Callithrix jacchus: one gene and its partners. The protein of the gene in region 3 interacts with the protein of the main gene of each other region in a pairwise test. Links are inferred from orthologs where the notes say so. Each region holds a gene or a part of one and is shown on either strand. Other genes may lie near its edges.

Evidence for each region.
Region 1: the proteins of STAM2 (region 3) and RNF11 interact in binary tests that used the Homo sapiens proteins (3 or more experiments, as listed by UniProt). The link is inferred for Callithrix jacchus from reciprocal best matches to the Homo sapiens genes STAM2 and RNF11.
Region 2: the proteins of STAM2 (region 3) and ENTREP1 interact in a two-hybrid assay, tested with the Homo sapiens proteins (2 studies listed by BioGRID and IntAct). The two-hybrid records come from large-scale screens. The link is inferred for Callithrix jacchus from reciprocal best matches to the Homo sapiens genes STAM2 and ENTREP1.
Region 4: the proteins of STAM2 (region 3) and LITAF interact in a two-hybrid assay, tested with the Homo sapiens proteins (4 studies listed by BioGRID and IntAct). The two-hybrid records come from large-scale screens. The link is inferred for Callithrix jacchus from reciprocal best matches to the Homo sapiens genes STAM2 and LITAF.

The regions. Positions count from the first base shown.
Region 1 is NC_133508.1:88,114,974-88,119,767, forward strand, and holds the start of RNF11 (RING finger protein 11), read left to right. Parts: upstream 1-1,668; 5' UTR 1,669-2,129; coding exon 2,130-2,252; intron 2,253-2,690; exon of another isoform or gene 2,691-2,777; intron 2,778-4,794. UniProt on the Homo sapiens protein: Essential component of a ubiquitin-editing protein complex, comprising also TNFAIP3, ITCH and TAX1BP1, that ensures the transient nature of inflammatory signaling pathways. Promotes the association of TNFAIP3 to RIPK1 after TNF stimulation.
Region 2 is NC_133502.1:95,571,451-95,576,032, forward strand, and holds the start of ENTREP1 (endosomal transmembrane epsin interactor 1), read right to left. Parts: upstream 3,127-4,582; 5' UTR 3,070-3,126; coding exon 2,659-3,069; intron 1-2,658. UniProt on the Homo sapiens protein: Functions as an activator of the E3 ubiquitin protein ligase ITCH in the ubiquitination of the CXCL12-activated CXCR4 receptor. Thereby, triggers CXCR4 endocytosis and desensitization, negatively regulating the CXCL12/CXCR4 signaling pathway.
Region 3 is NC_133507.1:78,249,687-78,253,774, forward strand, and holds part of STAM2 (signal transducing adapter molecule 2), read left to right. Parts: intron 1-2,198; coding exon 2,199-2,427; 3' UTR 2,428-4,088.
Region 4 is NC_133513.1:17,479,131-17,483,890, forward strand, and holds the start of LITAF (lipopolysaccharide-induced tumor necrosis factor-alpha factor), read left to right. Parts: upstream 1-1,634; 5' UTR 1,635-1,838; intron 1,839-4,760.

The DNA of each region.
Region 1 (4,794 bases), on a different chromosome or scaffold from region 3:
ACACGCAAAGTCAGTAAATGGTGAATAAAACGAAAGGCAGTCAAGATCCACCTGCTGAATGAAGGTCTATCAGTAGCACTGTCATCCTTCTTGCTTCCTTCTTTTGCATATGTTGTTTGAGCTGTTCATTCAACCAAGGAGAGAGCATACTCTACCTTGGGCAGTGTGCCAGCCTTGCACAGAGGGACAGATGATTCAGCTTGATCAGGCTGTGACAGAGAAAAGCTCAGGGTCTGAGAACGCAGAGGAAGCGACTAACTCAGACTGGAGGGTAAGGTGAGGCTCCCCAGGGGAAATGAAGTTGTGTCCGCCCAAGAAGCAGAAAGTTTGGGATTGGGGAGAAGTTGGTTTCTGTGAGAGAAACAAAGGCCCCAGGCAGAGCCAATAGTCTTCCAGATAACGAACATCACTTTAGAGAGCCGAGTTTAGAATTTGTGAAGGAGGGGACAATGCTGCTAATGCTCATAGGTGGGTGATGAAAAATGAGAACACATGGACACAGAAAGGGGAGTACTAAACACTGGGGTCTATTGGGGGGAAAAGGGGAGGGCTAGTGGGAGGGGGAGGTGGGGAGGGATAGCCTGGGGAGAAATGCCAAATGTGGGTGAAGGGGAGAAGAAAAGCAAAGCACACTGCCATGTGTGTACCTATGCAACTGTCTTGCATGCTCTGCTCATGTACCCCAAAACCTATAATCCAATAAAAAATTAAAAAAAAAAAAAAAAAGAAAAGAAAAGGGAGTCGGATTTGTAAACCCCTCTGCCTTCCGGGTTCAAGCGATTCTCCTGCCTCAGCCTCCCGAGTAGCTGGGACTACAGGCGCGCGCCACCATGCCCGGCTATTTTTTTGCATTTTTAGTGGAGACGGTGTTTCACTGCGTTAGCCAGGATGGTCTCTATCTCCTGACCTCATGATCCGCCCGCCTCTGCCTCCCAAAGTTTGTGATCACAGGCTTGAGGCACCGTGTCCTGCTTAAGGATTGTTTTAAGGACAGCCTTGAGGAGACATTGAAGGTTTTAACAGGAGAATAACATGATCCAATTTAAATTTTAAAAAGATAACTCTCAACTCTGCAAACAGTGGATTGGATGTGGGCAATGATCAACTCAGGAGCAGCTGAGAGTCTACTGCAGAAGAGTGGGTGAGGGATGATGGTGGCTTGGACTTCGGTGCTTGGACTGGAAAGAAATGGAACAATCTAATACACAACTGGAAGAAGAATCTCTCTGGCTGTGATGTGGGAGGATAAGGAAGTGATTGGAGCGGTAAGGAGGGTTCATTAACGAGCTAGGACTTTATTTTGAAGGGATAAAGGGGACGACTTTTAATATTTTAATCTTGGGACTGATTCATTCCGATATGGGTTTATATAAATAGACCGCTTGTCAAAGGGTACTGAGAAGACTGTCAGACACTGCACAGGTAAGAACTGAGACCCAGACCGGGCGGGCGCAGTGTATGTGGTGAGGTGCCGGAGATGGGAGATTGGTTTCGGGGACGGGTACGGAGCCAAGCAGTCAGAGAGAAGCGAAAATTGACGCAGCCCCAGGAACAGCTGCTGGGGGCGGAGGGGGATGGGAGCCGCCGGAGCCACCCTCGCCCCCTGGCGCCGGGGGCGGGACTAGAGCACGCACGGCGCGATGACGTAGGGTCTGAGCCTGCCTCGTTGTGGTTGCTGCCGCCGCGCTGAGGCGGAGTAGGATGAGGCCCGCGGCCGTGGCTCCGGCGTCGGCGGGGGCAGCAGCAGCTGAGGCAGCAGCTGAGGCAGCCGCGACGGCCGCGCCCCCCCCTCCTGACCTGGATTAGGCCCAGCAGCTCCGTGGCCGCCGCCGCCCCGCGGGGGGGCGGGGTGGGGAAGTGCTTCGTCTCCCCGCCCCCCCCCCCATCGCCGCCTCGCAGGAGGCAACCGCCGCGACCCCAGCGGAGCCCGCGGCCCAGCCTTGAGCCCCCACCTCCGGGGGCTGGCATGAGCGGCCCCTCGGCGGCACCGCGGGGCGGTGGAATCACCTGCGCCTGATCCCCGGCCTGCCGCCCGACCCCACCTCGCCGACCGAGGCTGACCGCGGAGCTTGCGAACGACCCCACCGCTGCTTTATCCTCCCCCAGATCACGCACCGCAGCTCCGGAAGATGGGGAACTGCCTCAAATCCCCCACCTCGGATGACATCTCCCTCCTTCACGAGTCTCAGTCCGACCGGGCTAGCTTTGGTGAGGGAACGGAGCCGGATCAGGAGCCGCCGCCGCCATATCAGGTAGGGGAGGGTGTGTGTTGGAGGGAGCGAGGAGTAGAGGCAGCTCTGGCTGAGACTGTGGGGGCTTCGGGCGGTCTCTGCCCCTGGCTTCGGCAAGGCCTGGCCTGGGCGGCATTGACCCCCTTAGGGCTGGATCTGAGGACATTTGCTCTCTGTTCGCAGAATAGGGTTGGTTCTTCGCCTCCCCTCGGGCACCGTGTGGGGATGGTACCCTCTGCCCTTGAGTTCTGGGATCAGAGAACGTGATCACATCCCCTAGGCCAGTGTCTGGTGGTTCGCTTGTGGAGTTTGGGAGTGACATTTTCCTGCCTTTATGTCTGAATCGTGTGATTTCCTCGTCGCACCGCCAACTGGATTATGGGTTCTGGATAGGTGGTTGCCAAGCACTACCCCCCCACCCCGCCCCATTTATGTTTTCATGTGTGGTCATCCTCTTACCCCCTCCTTCGTCTTTGTTAATTGGATCTGGCAGGTCTTCATTTCTCCCTCAGCTTCGGAGACGGATCTCCAAGTGATTTTAGCCCTAGCGACATCAGGCTACTTGTTTATATATATATACATGTATATAAATTTTAATCCCTCCTCCTTTTGCTCCACCCATATGACACACCTTTTAAACGTGCTGACTTAAGAAAACTTGATTAGCTTGAACTTTGGAAACCTTTAAACCTGACGGGAAATTCCTTCGGTTACTCGTGGTGTTCTCCCTTTGTATCAAAGACTCCTAAATAGATTTTACTGCTTTTTGTACAACAATCATTAGTCCCAGATGTGTTACAGAATTAGAATGACTAATTCTTAAACTCAAAATAGGTATGTGGATGTTTAATCCATAATATATATGTAAAAACATTTCCTGTACTTTTTTCATTTTAGATGATATTGAATACAATCTTTCAGAGGGCTTCAGTAGTAGTACTTAATTTTTTCCTGAAGAGTTTAGTTTTCTGACTGGGCATTCTCCTTTGTTTCATGTGGTGACATCATTACCTAGTGTTTTCTCATTCCTGTGTAAACCAGTGTCTCGTCACACCAGAAAAACCTGATCATATATGCCGATTTTCTGAATATAATTCTTCTGGGGCATTTCATGTATACCAGTAAAGTCCAGTCTTGATTGTGGCATACAGAAGCCTCCATGGCTTCTCTCTATTACGTTCTAGATTCTAGGCCTACCAAATACACCAGGCTCTTCACACCTTTGTTTTGCTTCAGTTGCTCTCTGCTTGGAGCCCTTCCCCCAGGTCAACCAGGTGGACATCTAATCCTCTTTGAGAACTCAAGCTTTTGTGTCTGAAGTCCCAGCATTCCCTTCCCTCCCAGCCCGAATCCCTTGTTTGTGTCCCCACTGAAACCACTACACTTCCATAAGTAATATCTATAACACTTTAATGTTCTATCTTTGTGAGATGTGTGTCTCATTTTTGTATTCGCCTTTTTCAGTGCAAGCTGCGTGAAGGTAGGGAATCTGTTTCTGGTTTGCTGTTGTATCCCTTACATCTGCCTCAGTAGGTAGTAACTGGGAGATAAATGATGAGTAAAAGCCCTTGAAAACAGGGACTCTTCCCCTCACTCAATTTCTGGCACATAAGCACCTAACTGAATGGATTAATGACGTTGAATTCAGTATTTTCTGTATTTACACAACTATTTTTTCCAAAGTACAATGTCACAAGGATAGTCTCAAGAAAGCTTAATCTGGGCCGGATACAGTGGCTCATGCCTGTAATCTCAGCACTTTGGGAGGCGGAGGCCGGAGGATCACCTGAGGTCGGGAGTTTAAGGCCAGCCTGACCAAATGGAGAAACCCAGTCTCTACTAAAAATACAAAATTAGCTGGGCATGGTGGCACATGCCTGTAATCCCAGCTACTTGGGAGGCTGAGGCAGGAGAATCGCTTGAACCTGGGAGGTGGAGGTTGCAGTGAGCCAAGATTGCCCCACTGCACTCCAGCCTGGGCAACAAAGAGCGAAACTTTGTCTCAAAAAAAAGCTGAAGCTGGATGTCTTTACAAGTACCTTTGAGTGAAGCAAGCAAGCTGTGTTTATATTTCACTCTCTTTCCCTCCCTTATTTACTATACAACAAAAGTGGTTATTTCCTTTTTTTTTCTTTTTGAGATGGAGTCTTGTTAATGTTGCCCAGGCTAGAGTGCAGTGGCATGATCTTGGCTCACCACAGCCTCTACCTCCTGGGTTCAGGCAATTCTGCCTTAGCCTCCCAGGTAGCTGGGATTACCGGCATGTGACACCATGCCCTGCTAATTTTGTATTTTTAGTACAAATGGAGTTTCTCCTTGTTGGTCAGGCTGGTCTCAAACTCCCAACCTCAGGTGATCCATCTCGGTCTCCCAAAGTTTTGGGATTACAGGCATGAACCACCACACCTGGTCACGTCGAGACACAATTTCACCATGGTCAGGCTGGTGTTGAACTCCTGACCTCAAATAGTCCACCTGCTTTGGCCTCCCAAATTGCTGGGATTACAGGTGTGTGCCACCGAATCTGGCCTGAAGTTTTTATTTTAAATCTCTTACGCTCCCT
Region 2 (4,582 bases), on a different chromosome or scaffold from region 3:
AAACCAATAAACTCATCCCAAAAATTATATTTTAAATATCCCTTAAATACTAAAGTAGTATTTGCTTAGTATAATAAAAAATATTTACTATCATTTAACTGGTAGTAACCATAATCTTTATGTTCATTTTTTTTCTTTGATCCATTGATTTTTCATTATGTGTAGTCACTGCAATTTTTTTTTAAAAAGTTTACCCTAAAGTTTACCAATGTCTGTCTCTTTATATAAAAGTGAATCTTGGAAGAATCATGGACTCAGAGATAATCATGAATTCAGATCAGATAGTGCATAAATGTAAACTTTCCATAACATGAGGCTTAAAAAAAAAACTGTCGCATACATAAATTCAAACCATGTGACACAAGATTTTTTTTCCCTAAAGCACCAAGAGAGTCATGGTGCCTAATGCCATCCTCTTAAAATTGTATTTAGTTAATTTTTCTATAAATACAGTATCTCTTGCTTCTGGTGTCACTTTGCAAATTCTGAGGCCAACCTCAGGAATAAGTCACAGAAAATAGGAATAATGAACAGTTACAAAGTTGCATATAGACCTGGGTTTGGAGGGTATGGGGAAGTATGGAAAAAAGACATAGCAGAGAACTTGTCAGTTCCAAATCACTGATTTCTTTCTCTGCTCTGGTGTGCTCAGACTTGGAGACAAGGGCATACCCAGCCAGCAGACCAGGAGTATTAACCTTCACCTTCTGGTTGAAGGCCTTTTATTTTATATATATATATATATATATATATATATATATATATATATATATATATATAACATTTTTTTTGGTACTTCATCAAATACAACTGTGGCTTGACTGATATCTAACTGTATTTACCTCTGAAATGATTCACAACAGTAAACTGAATTCAGCCTTTAATTTGAAAAGACAAAAAAAAAGCTATGTTTGAGAAGACAATAGAGTATGATTTTATAAAGAACAAATTCCTTAAAATATATGCAAGATTATTACTGGCCCATAGTATTTAGAGAAATGAATGCATCCACCATTTGGCAGGATTTAATCAGACAAGCACAGTAAGTAGCATAATGGGTCTAATTCCTATCCTGTCTGGAATATCCATCCTTCTGGAGTTTCCCAGAACACTCAAAGAGGCTAGTGGCAGAGCCCACAGGCAGCGCCACCAGGGTGGGATTTTTTTCTACATGAGGCACAAATTGTGGCCTTTGCTCACCACAGCACAGCATGTACCTCAATAAGATCATTCAATATGAAAGTATTTCAAAAGGAAAGCAAACTGGCACTGGATGAAGTATACAACTTCAGGCGAGTCTCAAGGAACCTAATGTTCTTAGCGTTTTTATTCAATTACCTTGGGTTCAATGAGTTCTTCGAATCCTTTTTTTCAATTTGCTCTTGAATTGGGGTATGCGTGGAACTATAAAAGCAGTTCTTACCATTCAGGACATGCACTGATTACAGATAGTATGAAAACTAAAAACTACCAGCATTGCCAGACTTTCAGATTTACATAGTGAGTCCATAGAAAGGTTATTTAAAGCCTGGTGTGGTGGCTCACATCTATAATCCCCACACTTTGGGAGGCTGAGGCAGGAGGATCACTTGGAGATGGAAAATAGCCTCGGCAACATGGGGAAATCCTGTCCCTTAAAAATAAAAAACAAATAAACTTTTTTAAAGGTATATAAAGAAAGGTTATCTACTTTGCTGTGCTCATCTTCCACATACATTCCACAAGGTTGTGTTTCCAAGTCTCTCCACACTCAGCAAACTTCAAAGGGTTGGATGCCTTGGAAGTTGTGAGATTGTTAGGACGCAGGGGGGAGTGGCCACCCGGTGTCCATAGATACTGGCTGGCAGCAGCTTTTCTCTGAAGTTGGGTACTCTTTGGCCCCAGGCTCAGCGTTCCTGGTTGGAGGAGGGAGGAGTGGGTCCTGGAGAGCAGACATCTCTCTAGCTAGCTGCCAGGCGCTCCAGGAGCTTTGGCCAGCTCATCCGTAATGACAGGTCCCGGGTCTCACAAACTGAATTCTGCACAGCAGCCTGCATGGCTCCAGGAACCCACTAGGGTTAAGGCTCTCCTTTAATGACCAGGTACAAGTGCCAGTTCACACACACCCTCTCGTTACCTCCTGAATTTGTCTGGGGGTCGAGCCACCCTACACCTCACAAGTACGTGTGTCTTAATGCAGAATAAAATAAGCGATGTACCCCAGTCAACCTGTCCCATCCCACAAATACACCTACTATGTGCCAGGCATTCTTGATACATCAGTGGACAAAAATGATCACAATACCTGGTCTTCCAGCACAGATGGTGTTAGTGCAGTAATTACTCAATGGCCAAAAGAACTTTAATCATTTTCCTCCCACTTTCCTGCCACCCACATCCTGGCCTTTCAATCTCCCAAAAAGCTGGGTATCTTTGTTTAATTCTATTAGCTTGACAGTGACAATAAAATCCTTTAACCTGCGAGCCACAGACACTACCCAGGTACAACCCAATTCTCCCCTGAACTCGACTGTGGCAGAACATCTTTCTCCAGCTTCCAAAAACTTCAGTTGAAGCCCTGGAGGACCATTACTAAGGGGCAATGGAGCGGATCGACCAGAGCCCCCTATCCCCGGAGTGCGTCGTCGAGCGGCGCGCGCGCGCGCGCGCAGTACTCACCGAAGAGCCGGCCCAGAATGGGCACGAGTTCTTCACCTGCGGAGAGCTGCTCAGCGACAGCGCCCCGAAGCTGAGCGCCACCATGCAGCAACCCAGGATCAGCTGCAGCAGCCCGAGTGACAGCAGCGGGCGGGCGGGCAGGAGCGCGGAGCCCGGTGCGGCGGCGGCGGCGGCGGCTGCCCGGCGGGAAGTGAGCGCGGGCGGCGCGGCCAGCACCCCGGCAGCAGCTGCGGCAGTGCAGCGAGGCCGCGCCGGGGGCTGCAGCGCGCCCCGGGGCCAGCGCGGCCGCAGCGGGGGCAGCGGCGGCTCCTGGGCGGCGGCGGCGGCGGCTCCCGGGCCCCCGGCCTGCGGCCCACCCGAAAGCCCAGCCACTGGGCAGCAGGAGCCCGGGAGCACCACGGGCAGGGACATGGACGGACGGAGAAGGGAGCGACCGGCGGCGGCTGGGAGGGGACGCCGAGCGGAGCCGAGAGCGCCGCACACAGGGCGTCGCGGGCGGGCTCCGAGGCCGAGGGGGAGGGAAGGAAATGCGCACGGCCCAACCACTTGCTGCCGCCGCGCTGCCCTGGCTCCAGCCGGCCGCACCCACCTGCCGCCTGGCGGGTCCGCCTCCCTCTGGCCCCGAACGCACCCTCACTGGCACCCACGCGCACCCCGTGCTCGCGCTGCGCCGGGTCCCCGCCGAACCTGCGCTGGCTTCCTGGGGTCCTAGGAGGGTGCCCTGCCCCAAATATTTAAATAAGTCCCTCAAGCTAGGAGGCACCCGACGGCCAGGACGCGTCAGCGCCGGCCACCGACAGTGTCAGCGTCTGTCCCCACCCGCCGAGCTGGGGCTAGAGAAGAGCAAGCAAAGCGCCGTGGACACTCGGGCTCCTTTACGGTCCAGGTCCAGCCACGAGAGAGACCCCGGCGCACTTTAATGAGAAGGGAGCCAGCCCTTAAACTTTTGCCCCCATAAGGAAGGGGATGTCTGGAGGAGGGACTTTGGGGGCGACTCGACGGGAGAGGTGTAAGCCAAGGACTTCGGGAAGGACGACGCCGAGCTCAGTTACCGCTTGCAGGGCGCACGACTTGCCTGGCCCGCATAGGTGCGGGGGTGCTTTCCCGGCACCTCGGTAGGAGCGGGAACGAAAGGACTGGGTTATTTTGGAACATCCAGCATCCGTAAATAAAGTACCCGAGGCAGCCCGGAGCGCACGGCAAGGGTTACTACTCTCTGTCCCCTCATTGACTCATGAGCTATATCAGGCATCACCTGGTAGAACACAGACCCCTCCAAACTTCCGAGGAAATATCCTAATAGGATCCTAAGCTACTTTGCTAATTTATGAGAAAGCTTTAGAGCTTAAAAAAAATTATTCCTCTTTGCAAAATGAATTTTCTTAATAGCATACCTTTTCACCTCAGAATAATTCTAATGCGTAGAAAGTTTCGTGCCTAAAATGATTATAATGGACTTTTCCTGATAAGAACCAGAGCAGTATTCTTTGCAGTTAGTCAGTTACGGTCTTAGAAAGCTTATCTTATCGTAAGGTTAGGGTATTAGCATCCTCCTACCCAATAAACCAAGAAAAGCGTGTGTCAGTTTTTATGCTCTGCTTGTGGAAGCTGTATTTATATTGCTGGTTACTTTAACCCACAATGTGATATACTATCAATGTGCCCAAATTTACGTATACACTTCTTCAATTATTAAAGCACGTGTCATTAATTGTGCCTAGGACTTCCTTTAGAGACTGCTCCCATGAATAAATTCAAATTCTGGAGGAAAACTGTGATGCCTTTCAAAATAAGTGTTTAAAGTCTGTTGATTCGTGCACTTTCAAAAAATGCCTTACAGTATATGCTCTGAAATTGCAGCTGATGTTAAATCAAAACTTCTTAGAGCTGAGGTTATACTCTATTTTCTGTACAAGCTTAACAG
Region 3 (4,088 bases):
TTTTTTTTCCCAAGACAGGGTCTTGGTCGAGCACCGTGGCTCACACCTGTAATCCCAGCACCTTGGGAGACCAAGGCAGGCAGATCACAAGGTCAGGAGTTCAAGACCAGCTTGACCAACATGGTGAAACCCCATCTCTACTAAAAATACAAAAATTAGTTGGACGTGGTGGCTTGCGCCTGTAATCCCAGCTACTCGGGACGCTGAAGCAGGAGAATCGCTTGAACCCAGGAAGCATAGGTTGCAATGAGCTGAGATCGTTCCATTGCACTCCAGCCTGGTGACAGAGCAATTCCATCTCAAAAAAAAAAAAGAAGTATCTGACTTGGTCACCCAGACTGGAGTGCAGTGGCGTGATCTCAGCTCACTACAGTCTTGACCTCCTGGTCTCAAGTGATTCACCCACCTCAGCCTCTCGAGTAGCAGGGACTACAGGCGAGTACCACCATGCTTGGCTAATTTTTGTTGTTTTTTTTTTTTTTGTCAAGATGGAGTTTGACCATGTTGCCCAGGCTGGTCTCAAACTCCTCAGCTCAAGGGATCTGCCTGCTGTGGCCTCCCAAAGTGCTAGGATTACAGACGTGCACCACTGCACCCAGCCCTGTAGTTCTGTTTTTTAATAAAAACACTTCTACTCTAAAAGTTATATTTAAATCTTCCTTTCTATTCACTTTGTTTAACCATACAAAATGTTCATTCAATATAATCGTATGTAGATGATCTATAAGGTTCTCTTCCCACCCTCAAATTCTATGAGTATGAATTTTAGATATTTGTAAATTAAATAAATGTCATATTAGTGTTCAGTTAGAATAAAATACAAAATTTTGCCATCCTTGATGACACTAGTAATTATGGAGAAAAAACTGGTGTCGTGTTGAAACTAATTCTCTTTTATTGTAAGCAGTGTATTTGGTGGAATTTAAAATTACATAATTTTTAAAAATTAAAACTGTTTTTAAATAGATGGGGTTTTATCACCCAGGCTGGAGTACGTGGTGTGATCAGAGCTCACTGCAGCCTCCAACTCCCAGGCTTAAGGGATCTTCCAAAACCTCTGCCTCCTGAGGAGCTGAGACCACAGGTGCATACTATGCCCAGCTAATGTTTTTAATTTTTTGTAGAGATGAGTATTGCTATGTTGCCCGGGCTGGTCTCAAACTAGCCTGGCCTTAAGCAGACCTCTTACCTTGGCCTACCAAAATGCTGGGATTAGAGGCGTGAGCCTCTAAGCTCAGCCCTAAAATTATATATATATTTCAAGAGAAATGTATGCCATAATAGTTACAGCAACAGACAGAAGTCTTGCAATTAGGTATGATTTTTCAGCATAGTGTGTGAAGTGTCAGTAAATAAACTATAGTTTTGGATTATCCTGAGGGTAGATTTTGGGTCCTATACAGACTGCACTGTTTTTTCTTTGAAAGTAAAAAGTGATTATGAAGGAAAGCTTGAAGGATATTTGCAGAGAAGAGGTAGACTTCTTTGCGCCTGATTTGGAGATGGGGAAGGGAGAATGTAGGCCGAAGGTGGCATCTTGAACCAGGGCTTCATTCTCTTTGCAACTGGCCGAGGGTACTTCCCTCAGAAACAGTTTACATATCCTCAGATGGTTTCTAAATGGTTTTAGTTAGAGATTCTGGAGAAGGCAAGTTAAATCGGCCTTAGAATCTTACATTTTATTTCTTTTCAAGTACCTCTCTTTCCTTACCAAATAAAAAAACTACATTAACAAGCTCAGTGTGGTGACCCACACCTGTAATTTCAACACTTTGGAAGGCCAAGGCCACAGGATCACTTGAGCCCAGGAGTTTGAGACCATCCTGGGCAACATAGCAAGACCCAGTCTCTACAAAAAAAAAAATTTTTAATTAGTCAGGAGTGGTGGTACACCTATAGTCCCAGCCACTCAGGAGACTGAAGCAGGAGGACTGTTTAAGCCTAGGAGTTTGAGAATGCAGTGAGCTATGATCTGCACCCCAGCCTGGGCAACAGAGCAAGATCCCATCTCAAAAAAAAAAGAAAATTTGATTGACAGTATTCAATGGCTGGAGTGATTAAATTGTAATCAGAACAGCAGAGCTACATAAACTTAAAAAGAAGATGGAAAAGGCATTTTTATCATGATGATTGATCTCTAACTGTAACCTAGATATTGCAAAGTAAATATGGTTTTCTTTATACAATTTTGTTTGTAGCACTGGACAAGACACTGTTTCCAATCCTACTTATATGAACCAGAAATCTAACCTACAATCAGCTACTGGTACAACTGCTTACACACAGCAAATGGGGATGTCTGTGGATATGTCATCTTATCAGAACACTACTTCCAATTTGCCTCAACTGACAGGCTTTCCGGTGACAGTTCCAGCTCATCCAGTTGCACAGCAGCACACAAATTACCATCAGCAGCCTCTCCTTTAGAAATAAAGCAGCCATTTTCTTGAAAGCCTTCATAAGTGTATTCAATCCTTGTGATTCCAACCTGAAAACATTAAAACTTTTTTCCTCTCAACTCAAAAGGACTATACATAAAAAAAGCACAAAAACCTCTCATACTCTACAAGGCCATAAAAGGTTTTTTTTTTTCAGTCCAGTTTGTTTGAAGTCAATCTTTTGATTAGAGGCAGCTTAAAGATGCTTTCAGTTAGTTTTGTCTTACTTTCTAATTTATCTACATAAATCTAGATACCTGTTAGGTAGCCTTATGACACTAAACAGTATAAGATAGGAGTGTTAAAATATTATTTTAAAGAAACCACTGTTTTCCCCTAAAATGTCATAAGAGCACTAAAGAACTTGAAATATTTTTTTCAGAGTATCTCACTAACTTTTGTGTGTAAGCATTTAGCTTGCCAGCATATTTCCTTTTGGCTCCTTAAATTGCAGTTGTGTTTGCAGTATTGTCACTTTTGCTCTCACGATATGTTGAGTAGTAATTAGCATATAAGCAAGAGCAATTTGGAAGGAACAAAAATGCTTTCTGTGATTAACAGTGAAGACCTTATAAATGCAGATGTGTGATAAAGTCCCCAGCCAGTCATGCCAACTGTGCAGGAATTTGTCCCACAAAACATTTCCATTCTCTAAGGAAAAACATTTCCTTTTCTACATGTATCTCTGGTATTTAGAATTGCCACTAGTAACCTTTTCAAGTGGCTTTGGCTATTCTCTAATGAAGATATATGGTCCATTTGTTTTTCTCCCTGCAATATGGTGTGCAGAGATGCTGCATATCCTTTTTATGGATTTTCATGTGATTTTGAGCTGTGAGACATTCCTAATAATTTGTTGTGAGATATACCAAGCATGGATGATAAGTGTGTTTTTAGTGATGTGGTTTCTTTTTTTTTTTTTAAGTGATTCAAGTACCGTTGCTAAGCTGTCAGCATACTAAGCTGTTGAAAAAATCGACCATTTCTTTCAGAAGTAATTCCGAACTTGTGGAATAATAGCAGGTGATGACTTCATAGAAGATGACAGACTGATAGGGAGGCTATTGAAGCAGTTTTTCTGAAGCCTGTATTTTGAGTTAGTTTATAGTGCTAATAGGTTCTATATAACTGTGGGAGTTTGGTAGTAAGCCAGTAGGGATTATTTTCTCTCCTAAAAATTTGCACACTACTCCATTGTCTACCAATTTTTTTCATAATGCAAAATAGAAATTGTAAATACATATGCATATGGAAACATGTTCAGACTGGGAAAAACAATGGACATTAGTTTTTAAAAAGTTACTTGCATGGAAGCAAGATTTCTATATTTGTTTTTTTAAAGCAGTCAGTCTTGCTACTAAATCCATTTCAAGATAGTTCTCTGAGGATTTTGTTATTTATCTACAGAGATTTGATTATAAATATGTTCCTTTTTCAAAGAAACTTTATCCTAGAACAGAGTAGTCTATATGGTACTTGATCTACATTTAAATGGAAAAATGAGCAGTATTTGAAAGCTCAGTTTATGTCAATGTCTTACTTCAGATACAAAAAACTGAACAGAAAGTTTTAACCTTTAATATCTCATGTCCTGTTTTTCATTCAGTATTTTCCTATATGTTAATTCAGTTATAAACTTCTGAATGGCAC
Region 4 (4,760 bases), on a different chromosome or scaffold from region 3:
AGGTGGTCCCCGGGAGAATGTTAGAGAGAATGGTGTATGGGTTGGGGACAACTGGATGTATGGGAATTACGGCTTCATTGATTAAGCACAAGTCCTGGACCAGTCTATATTGTCCTGAGGGTTTTCGTACTGGGAGGATGGGGGTATTACATGGGGAGTTAATGGGGATTAAGAGGCCTTGACCTTTTAGTTTCTCTCTGATGGGTCGGATACCCATACGGTGGGCTTTAGAGATGGGAAATTGAGGGCGGGAGAGAAAATGAGGCGAGGAGTCTTTAAGGCGGACTTGAACTGGCTGGTGGTGTGTAGCTACAGACGGGTTGTTAATGTCCCAGACCTGAGGGTGGACTCTGGGGAGTAGTTCGGATAGGGCTTTTTGGTGTTCGGTATCTGAGGTGAGGGCTAGGAGAAAGAGGCTATGTGAGTTGGCGGTGGGGAAGGTTATGATGGCCTTTAGCTTTGAAAGGATGTCTCGTCCTAGGAGGGGTACTGGGCAGGTGGGGATTACTAAAAAGGAGTGGGTAAATGGAGTGGAGTTATATGAGCACATGAGCGGTGGGGTTTGGTAGGGGATACTTGGGGTCCCGTCGATTCCCATGACTGAGACCTGGGAAGGGGTAAGATGGCCAGAATAGGAAGGAAGTATGGAGTAGGTAGCCCCCATGTCCAGCAAGAAGGAGACACTTTTACCCGCTACCTGAAGTGTGGCCCTAGGCTCGGCGAGGATAACCAGAGTCGGGGAGCCAGGGCCCCGCTAGTCGTCTAGCAGCTCTAGTAGACTGGGGAATGGAGCCCCCTCGGAGGTCGGCTCCTGGCAAGCAGGCTCCTCCCTACTGAGGGTGACCGCCGGCTGCATAACGCCAGTGTGTCTGTTTTGAGGAACCGGCACCCTGGGAAAGCTGGGGCAGTCTGACCTCCAGTGTCCCAGGAGCTGACAGGCAGGGGAAGGCTTAGTTCGTGGCCGTGGTTGTGGACAGGCCCGGGACCAGTGTCCTTCCCTTCCACATTTGAAACATGCCCCCGGAGGGGTATGGGTTTCGGCCTTGGGCCTCTGATTCCCTGCCGGCCTTAGGGCTGCCACTAGGGCTTGGGTCTGGAGGGCAACCTTCTGCTTCATGCGAGTTTGCCGGGCAGCCTCAGCCGCATCTTCCCTGGCATTGAATACTTTAAAGGCCATTTTTACCAGGTCTTGGATGGGAGTCTCTGGCCCCTCTTCTGCTTTCTTTAGTTTCCTTTTTATATCGGATGCTGATTGGGAGATAAAATGGGAGGCTAGTACAGTGGCTCCGTTTTGAGAGGCTGGATCTAGCCGAGTGTACCGGACTAGGGCTTCTTGTAAGCGGGCGAGAAAAAGGGCGGGATTCTCATCAGGTAGTTGGGTGATTTCTCTTAGTTTATCATAGTTTACAACTTTGTTAGATACAATATCCATTCCCCTGAGGAGGTATCTAATCATGCGGTCCCTCTTGGGTATATCAGACCCTCGACTAGCCTGATAGTCCCATTGGGGGGTCTTCACCTGGGATTACTTCGGGGCCTAAGGGGATCTGGTTATCTATAGCATGATCTTTATCTGCTTGGTTTTTGGCTGCCACTAGGATGTGCTCGTGCTCCTCTACTGTGAGGGTGGAGGTACAGATAACGCGGATATCATGCCAAGTGAGGCTGTATGCTTGAGTGAGGTATTGGAATTCCTTAATATAGGTGGACGAGTCGGCTGAGAAGGATCCTAACCGTTTCTCAATTTGGGACAGGTCTTGGAGTGAGAAAGGAACATGGACCCTGACTAAGCCTTCAGTGCCTGCTACTTCTCGGAGTGGGACCAGGATAGTTGGTTGGTGAGAGCGGGTGTGGGCTGCCACTGGGGAGGCAAGAGGAAGAGCGGCCTCCGAGGGAGGGGGCCCAGAGGGAGTGGAGGAAGAGCGAGGCATGGCCTCTGAGATAGAAGGTGCAGAGGGAGTGGGGGAAGGGCGTGCTGTTGAAGGCGACTGGTTGCCGAGGTTGGCAGGAGGGGACAGATGTTCAGGCAGATCTTCCGGTGAGGAGTAGGGAGGGGGAGAGGTAGTGGAGGAAGATTTACGAGGGGTACGAGCTAAGAGGATTTGGTAGGTGGAGCAGGAAGAACATAGGTTGGGGTGGGTACGGAGGTCCCAAAAAGCCTGAACGTAAGGAATTTCATTGTCTTTTCCCATGCGGCGACAAAAATTGTCGAGATCTCGGAGGGTGTTGAAATCGAAAGTGCCAGTCGGGGGCCAATGTGACTGGTTACTGAGTTTGTATTGGGGCCAAGCCACCTGGGACAGGAAGACAAGCTTTTTCTTTCTGAGGGTTTGGGAGTATCCCAATTTGGTAAAATTTCGCAGCAAGCACCCAAGGGGGGTGCTGGAAGGTATTTTGGACTCCGAATTTCCCATGGCAGGTGCAGCTACAGACCCTCCGGCGCGGTTGGGTAGATGCAAAGAAAAGGCGTCCCCTTTCGTTGCAAATTCCCAGGAGTACGGTTAAGGACGGTTAGGGAAGTGGTCAGAGGGGCGTCCCCCGTCTGGCAGCTACCCCTCGGAAGGCTCCAGGAGCCGGAACGGAGGACTACCTCGGCTCGGCCGAGACTAGGCGAGGAGTCCGTGTGGAACGCCGGAGGGGAGCAGCTGCAACCGTGCCGTAGGAGGGGTGGGGGGGGAGAGAAGGTAAAGCTAGAAAAAACTTGGCTTACCTTAATCGGAGCGCAGAGGTGGCAGGGCCAGTGTTGGGTAGGTCGGGGGGAGGGGGCCATGGCCGGGCCAGCGGCCCCAACTCCCGGGTTTCGGCACCACTTGTCCGACCTACCCTCTATGGGAAGATCAGAGCTCGTTCAGAAAAAAACTGGGCCGCAGGTTAGAAGAAAGTCTTAAGTTCAGGCTTTATTGAGAGGAAAGAGCCTCCGGGCGGACCAGCCGGGAAGCACATGAAAATGGCCGCGCCGCTCAGAGGAGCAGAGTTCTTTTATAGGGAGCTGAAGGGCTGAGGGAGTGGGGAAGCCGAGAGAGCCGAGGTGGCGGGCAACGGTTGGTCAGTTTAAACCGCTGGGCGGGAAGCTGGGCGGCAGGAAACTGGGAGGCGGGAAGCCGGGAGGCAGGAAGTTGGGGAGAGCTGATGAGGCGGGTGGTGATTGGTCAGCCGGTTGCCGGGCGGGAGGTGGCTGTGGCCGGGCGGGAAGGCCAGGACGGTATGTAGAGTGAGAGATAAGGGAGTCCCTTTGTGTGGGAGGGGGAAGGCTTTCACGACAGGGACAGAGTTTTCCAAACAACTTTGGCTTCCCAAAGTGCTAGGATTACACCTTGACTGGCTGATACTGGAGTTTTATGACTGAAGTCAGTCTCCCTGAAAATGCAGAGGCTAGGGTTGTTCAAGGACAGTTTGGCTAGCCAGGAATGAGTGCTGCTGATTGGCTGGAGAGACAATGATAGGTGTGTGGAAAATGGTCCTTGTGTGCGCTGAGTCCTCAGTACTTGTCAGAAATGCAAAAACCTGAAAAGACATTTCAAAAGGCTGATCTTAGATTCTACAATACTGATGTTATCTGCAGGGGTGACAGGGGAAGTCGTAAATCTTGTGACCTCTGGAATAATGGCTGGTAATCATGTATCTCGACATATAGCAGAATTTAGCTTTCTCTCATTCTTTAGCTTCCTAACCTGGTGGTCTTTTGTTAGCTTTACAAAAGCAGTCGAGTTTTGGGAAGGGAATCATTATCATTAAACTATGCACTAAAGCTGGGTGTGGTGGCTCATGCCTGTAATCCCAGCACTTTGGGAGGCTGAGGCGGGTGGATCATGAGGTCAAGAGATCAAGACCATCCTGACCAACATGGTGAAACACTGTCTCTATTAAAATATATAAAAATTAGTGGTGGCACGTGCCTGTAGTCCCAGCTACTCAGGAGGCTGAGGCTGGAGAATCGCTTGAACCTGGGAGGCGGAGGTTATAGTGAGTCAAGATCACACCACTGCACTCCAGCTTAGATAACAGAGCAACACTCTCTCAAAGCAAAACAAAACAATACACCAAAACCAAAATGGTCACTTAAACTATAAACTAAATGTTCCCCAGAGTTAGTTAGTCCCAAGCCCAGGAATGATGGAGAGCAGTTTGCAGGTGAAAGACAAGATGGGGGCTGGTTAAATCAGATCTCCTACACAGTGACAATTTTCCGTTAAAATTTTTGCGAAGATGGTTTCATCTGTGTGCACGTGTGCAGAAGTGCCTGTCTCTGCACATGTGTATTCCTGCCTATTTGTGTGTGAGTTGCTGAGGTTCCATACGTCCCTCTGCCTGTGTCTGTGTATTGCTAAGTGGCCTTACATGTCTGTGTGTATGATGCCACTAATGACAGCAAACACATATGTGGCACTTCCTGTGTTCCAGGGTGTGAGTGCTGCGCATGCACCAACTCAGTCCTCCCAACGACCCTTTCAGGTGGGGAAAGGAGTCCCGATCCAGACCCCCAGAGAGGGTTCTTGGATCTCTTATAAGAAAGCCTTCAGGGGAAGCAGGTGGAGTAAAGTGGAAGCAAGGTTATTAGGAAAGAAAAGGAATAAAGAATGGCCTCTCCCTAGACAGAGCGGACCTGAGGGCACTGCTGGCCATTTTTATGGTGATTTCTTGATTATATGCTGAACAAGGGGTGGATTACTCATGCCTCCTTTTTAGACTATAGGGTAACTTTCTGATGTTGCCATGGCATTTGTAAACTGTCATGGCGCTGGTGGGAGTGCAGCAGTGAG